Kluyveromyces lactis: one gene and its partner. The protein of the gene in region 1 interacts with the protein of each later gene in a biochemical or structural test. Links are inferred from orthologs where the notes say so. Each region holds a gene or a part of one and is shown in the gene's direction. Other genes may lie near its edges.

What was found. The genes of interacting proteins can lie anywhere in the genome.
Region 2: the proteins of RPN11 (region 1) and SRP1 form a complex in vitro, tested with the Saccharomyces cerevisiae proteins (2 studies listed by BioGRID). The link is inferred for Kluyveromyces lactis from reciprocal best matches to the Saccharomyces cerevisiae genes RPN11 and SRP1.

The regions. Positions count from the first base shown.
Region 1 is NC_006041.1:1,251,380-1,254,165, reverse strand, and holds RPN11 (proteasome regulatory particle lid subunit RPN11), read left to right. Parts: upstream 1-1,350; coding exon 1,351-2,286; downstream 2,287-2,786. Other genes in the region: type 1 protein phosphatase-activating protein YPI1, read right to left, coding at 201-668; mRNA splicing protein SAD1, read right to left, coding at 2,399-2,786. UniProt on the Saccharomyces cerevisiae protein: Component of the lid subcomplex of the 26S proteasome, a multiprotein complex involved in the ATP-dependent degradation of ubiquitinated proteins.
Region 2 is NC_006040.1:729,394-733,142, reverse strand, and holds SRP1 (karyopherin alpha), read left to right. Parts: upstream 1-1,337; coding exon 1,338-2,954; downstream 2,955-3,749. Other genes in the region: KAR1 (Kar1p), read left to right, coding at 3,443-3,749. UniProt on the Saccharomyces cerevisiae protein: Functions in nuclear protein import as an adapter protein for importin beta nuclear receptors. Binds specifically and directly to substrates containing either a simple or bipartite NLS motif. Promotes docking of import substrates to the nuclear envelope.

The DNA.
Region 1 (2,786 bases):
CCTACCATAATAGCATACAATAAAATAACCATGTGTAAGTCGATTGTTATTCGATATAATTGCCTGATAGATTATATATGCATATGTATATATATACATTTGAACTGCCAATTACCTTTTCAGCAGTGCATTGTTGTAGTGAGTAGAAGATGCAACGAAATGTACAAGAAGTGAAAGAGTATGCTGATCAAATTCCTAAATCATTGAGCGTCTTTTCTGTTCTTATCTCTATAAGCGCTGTAATCTGGCTGGACTTCGTATGCATTCGGACTTGGTGGACGTTTTTGCTCAAGCTTTTTTCTCCGCCTTTCGAGTCTTGCCTTTCTTCTTTCGTCAAAGCTTTTTCCCTCATCCTCGTCTGAAGAAGACGAAGATGATGAAGACGATGAATCATGTCCATGATTATGATCGTGCTCGCACTCTCCTTCCTCTTCTTCATCACTCTCTAATGGGGTATTAGGATGGAAAATGCAACAAATCTTAGTTTTCTTCTTGTTCATGTTCTCATTATCTATTACTTTCTCATCCCATCTTACTTTAGACTTGGTGTCCTTCTTCTTAGTTTTGTTTTTCTCATTCTGGCCAGCACGCAATTGAAGCAGCTGCGGAACCTCCGTAACAGTGACGGTATGCGTTCCTTCAGGAAGAGCAGAAGGTCCTTCACTCATATGTTAGGAAATATTTCAAAGTTTAATTATGATGATGGATCAAACTGATAAAAAAAGCGTGACGATAGGTAAAGTTTTCCTGTCTAAGTCTTGATAATCTTTCGTAATTTCACTTATCAAAGGACTGGGAACAAAGTATGAATAATGTAAGAAATCGTTTCCTATTTCTAAAATCTTCGGCGTCAATAAAACGGAATATTTTCTTCAACAAGTCGTGCTCTCGAGTATTTGACTGTACTAGACCATGGAGCTTCGCTTTGTATATGAGATATCCATGTATGCATAGAAGTACTCCAGTCTCATCTCATTTTTAAAGGGAAGAAAGAGGTTAAATATCTGAAGGTCAGAAAGTGGTGATGTTCGTTAATAATGACTACTAAATCCATAAGCCAAAAGAAAGATCGTAACTTTGTAATGCAGTGGCAAACAGTTTACAATTGATAAAGGTATAAGCAGATAATTCGTCAAGAATTCTCATCTCTGTACGTGTGGTATCCATAAGTCATTATTAGCAGTATTAGATACACAGTAATTGAAATCTACAAGACAATTGCATACTTCTCAGGAAAGAATAAGAATTTCAATTTGTTGGTACTTTATTAAGGAAGTATTATATCAAGAAACAGAACGCTGATACAAAAGCCAATTTATCGTCTCCGCAATTCAAATCCTTCAACAAAAGATGGAAAGTTTACAAAGAATGATGATGTCTCAAAGAGCAGGCATGATGGGTGCCAATGCCACCGAGGTTCCCCTTGATGACACCAAGGAAACTGTGTACATTTCTTCTCTTGCATTGTTGAAGATGTTGAAACATGGGAGAGCTGGTGTTCCAATGGAAGTCATGGGTCTTATGTTGGGAGAATTTGTTGATGATTATACAGTAAACGTTGTCGATGTGTTTGCCATGCCTCAGTCAGGTACAGGTGTTTCTGTCGAGGCTGTTGATGATGTTTTTCAAGCTAAGATGATGGATATGTTAAAACAAACAGGAAGAGATCAAATGGTTGTCGGATGGTACCATTCACATCCGGGTTTTGGTTGTTGGTTATCTTCAGTAGATGTGAATACTCAGAAATCATTTGAACAATTAAACAGCAGGGCTGTGGCGGTGGTTGTTGATCCTATTCAATCGGTGAAGGGTAAAGTGGTCATTGATGCATTCAGACTAATTGACCCTTCTACTGTCATGAGAAACCAGGAACCAAGGCAAAATACTTCTAATATCGGGTTGATCAACAAACCGAATATTCAAGCGTTGATTCATGGTCTAAATAGGCATTATTACTCGCTTAATATCGATTATCACAAGACTTCCGCCGAAATGAACATGTTAATGAATCTACATAAGGAACAATGGCAATCGGGACTAAAAATGCATGATTTCAAGGAAAGAGAGGAGCACAACTTGGGTGAAACTCAGAAAATGATTAAGATCGCTGAACAATTCACTAAGAGAATTGAGGAAGAGAGAGAATTGAGTGAAGAAGAATTGAAAACGCGTTATGTAGGAAAACAGGATCCAAAAAGACATCTTGCAGAGACTGCTGAAAAGCTCTTGGAAGACAATATAGTATCTGTATTAACAGCGGGTGTTAACTCTGTTGCTATTAAATAACCATCTTACATACAGTAAAAATACATCAACTTCAATTTGCGAGATAAGTTTTAGCCGATGAAATGATGAATCGATCCAAGAGTGTAGATAATCTGAATAACGAAAGCAGTTTCTAAACGCGTTGCCATATTTGAATGTAACATTCTTTAAGGAAAAGAAACTCTTTCTCAACCTTATTCACTTCAATGTCATCAAACTCGTACCATTGGTCGCGTAAAGTATCAGCGAGGTGTACTTTCCATCTGCTGGCTAACAAATCTTCTGTATCCGATATTTTCATTTGTATTACGCAATCATGGGTGATATTTACTAGTAATTTATAGTGTACACCACTGAATTCTAATTTTTCAGAGAACTCTACTAGAGTTTTGTTTCTATCTTTAATGGAAGTGAAGCCTTTGTCAAACCTGTTGAAATGAAGTATTAGGAATTTAGGATGCTTCAATATACGGTACGTTTTGATGGAATCTTTGGTATGGTATTCTGTTTCGCCATTGAAT
Region 2 (3,749 bases), on another chromosome or scaffold:
TTCCATGAATTACCTATATTATTCTACTACCTTACCTATGTCGTTGCTGCGTGTCGTGAATGTGTGTCGTGTGTCGTGTCGCGTGCTAACAAATTTTTTGTTTTGAGTGTAAGTGTATTGTGTTAAATTAACACAGTATATACTACTCAATCTCATCTATCTGTGTCCTAATTTGAAAATTATTCCATTTCATGAATGAAAAAAAATTGACGTTTATGAACCGTACAGCAGTGTGTGTGTTGTGAAAATTCATAATCGTCGATATTTGGAGTATATATATAACAAAAAGGAATGGAGTGCAGTAGGTGAACCGTGTTTCTTTCTTGGCGTTGAATTCTGAATCTTTCCCGCCTGTTCATTCGAGCACTCATTTATTTGTGAGGGACATTTTCAAAATGCTGCTAGAGAGAACATGTCAATAAAACATCAACTGAGCGGTTTTGTCCATTCCTTTTTCTCTCCCTCAAATCATTCCATCCATCTCCAATACCCAGTGAATGTATTTTTGATGCTTACTAAAGGGGGAAATAGAAAAAGGAACTTATGCTAGTTGATTGTATCACAATTCTTTCGCTTCTACTCTCATCAACTTACCCTCATGTATACTTTAGTGTGTGTGTATCATGAGAATGAATGAGGAACGAAAACAAGGAATCCCCGGTGATATATTTATATTACCAACCATCCCAAATATATTATGTATACGTATATACATCTCTTAATATGTGTTGAAAAGTGTGTCAAATTGACCCTGCCCATCTTTTCCTGTCTTTTGATGTTAGAACCTTTGTCGTTTTCTTACACGAGGTTGGTATGTCACGTGACAACTCCGTACATCACGACTATCTGGCAAAGAAATTTCAACCAAAAAAAAAAATTCGAATTTTTTGGATGGCCAAAAAAGAAGGATTTTAATCAAGATGGATATTATATGGGATTGAATAAAAGATTGGTTTGCATTCTACTTCAATTACACTGTTACATATATAAAACAATACGGTGCTCTTGGCTTCCGATATATTTTTCTGTCAAGCAATACAAAGAAACGAATCAGATTTTCATTTACTCAAGGGGAAACGCTATTTGTGATTGTTAGAGATTGATTTTGCGACTGATAATTTCTTCTTTAAATCCAACTTCTCTTTATTTTTGTTTGATTTGGAACCCATTTGCAAAAATATCTACTTGAAAAGACGGGACGATCAATTGTGATTGTGAGTTTGGTAGAAAGGAATTAGTTACAATCTTTTTTTTTACTTCTCTGAATTTTCTTTGGTTCGCGGCTAGCACGAAGGATCAGATAGCAGGTATCCGTTTTATTATTTTATAAGTGAAAGATGGACGGTGACACTTCCAGCAAGTTTGTTCCTGAATACAGGAGGACAAACTTCAAGAATAAGGGTAGATTCTCTGCTGATGAATTACGTCGTCGTAGAGACGTTCAACAAGTCGAGTTGAGAAAAGTCAAGAGGGATGAGGCATTAGCAAAAAGAAGAAATTTCAATGCGCCTGTTGGTAACGATTCTGATGATGAAAATGATGATGATGACGATCAGGACTCCTCTTTCTACAGACAATTACAACAGGAGTTGCCTGCTATGTTGGAACAAATCCATTCTAACGATCTACAACAACAGTTGGCTGTGACGGTCAAGTTTAGACAAGTCTTGTCTAGAGAACACAGACCACCTATCGATTTGGTTATCAGTACTGGCGTAGTGCCAACCTTGGTCCAATTCATGAGCGAAAATCAACCTGAGATGTTGCAATTGGAAGCTGCTTGGGCGTTGACGAACATTGCTTCTGGTACTTCTGAGCAGACTAGAGTCGTCGTAGATGCGGGTGCTGTGCCATTATTCATTCAATTATTATATTCAAACTCGGTTGAAGTGAAGGAACAAGCTATTTGGGCCTTGGGTAACGTTGCTGGTGATTCCACCGATTATAGAGACTACGTTTTGCAATGTGGTGCCATGCAACCAATTCTATATTTGTTCGAATTGAACAAGACTTCCTTGATTAGAACAGCTACGTGGACTTTATCTAACTTGTGTCGTGGTAAGAAACCTCAACCAGATTGGTCTATCGTGTCTCAAGCTTTGCCAACTTTGTCTAAGCTAATCTACTCCATGGATACTGAAACGTTAGTCGATGCTTGTTGGGCTATCTCATATCTTTCCGATGGCCCGGTTAATTCGATCCAAGCGGTAGTAGATGCTAGAATCCCAAAGAGACTTGTAGAACTACTATCCCACCAATCTACGTTAGTGCAAACCCCTGCTCTAAGAGCTGTAGGTAACATTGTCACAGGTAACGATTTGCAAACTCAGATCGTTATCAACTGTGGAGCCTTGGCAGCTCTAAGAAATCTATTGGCTTCTCCAAAGGAATCCATAAGAAAGGAAGCTTGTTGGACCATCTCTAATATAACCGCTGGTAATACGGAACAGATTCAAGCCGTTATTGATGCTAACTTAATTCCACCATTAATCAGATTGTTGGAAACTGCAGAATATAAGACAAAGAAAGAAGCATGTTGGGCCATCTCGAATGCCTCTTCTGGTGGGTTACACAAGCCAGAAATTATCAGATATTTGGTCAGTCAAGGCTGTATAAAACCATTGTGCGATCTATTAGAGATTGCTGATAACAGAATCATAGAGGTTACACTAGATGCTATAGAAAATATTTTGAAGATGGGTGAAATGGATAGAGAAGTCAGAGGTATTGCCGTGAACGAAAATGCTGATTTCATTGAGAAAGCTGGTGGTATGGAAAAGATCTTCAATTTACAGTCTAATGCTAACGAAAAAATTTACGAAAAGGCCTTCAAGATCATTGAAAAGTACTTTAGTGATGAAGATGATGTTGTTGATGAATCTATGGCTCCACAAACAGCTGGTAACACTTTTGGATTTGGATCAAATGTCAACCAGCAATTCAACTTCAATTAAAACCAACTCTAGCTGTGCGTGTGTCATGTAATTACATTTGCTTTTTTTATTCTAGACAATAAATGAATACTACGCGCCTGTTAAATATCATATAATTTTTGCATTAATGTAATCTATCTATAGTATTATTAATCTACACTTCTCCCTTCATTGTGAAACAGAATTCTATGTCATTAAAGGGCCCAAGTCTTATTTGCAGTTTTGAACCACGATAAAAGTAAAAACTGTGCTCAAAAAACAGTATCATGGACCTTCTCTCTGTCATAGAAATTAGGTGACCAGTTAGGTGCATATCACTTTCGGTGTTACCTCTACATGTTCCGATGCATAATATCAACATTTAAAGGTTTGGATTTTTGTAAACCTTTAAAAATACACAATCGAAATTTCCTCGGTGAAACATCGCCTATAATCACACGAAAAGGAAATATCCAATGCATATGTGCTACTTCAAAGCTCGGAGTTGAATATTACGCTGATGCGATAATATGAGTTCAATGCCTGAATTTCTCAATCTGCGGTCTCCCCAGAGAAAGATTAGTGACTCACGAATAAAACGGATCAACAAAATGTTTGACGCGAAGATTAAAGATGAGGTATCAGTTGTTTCGAACAATAGCACAAGTGTTTTGCAAGATATATGCGGGCCTTTAAATATTTCTGAGGAGGAAGATACTGTGAAGTACAAATCATCGAGTAATGTTACTACTCCGGGGTCTGTAAGCTCCAGCGAAACGTTTGATGATGAAGTTAACCCACAGTTTATGCCGAAGCTGCGATCTAAACAAAGCATTG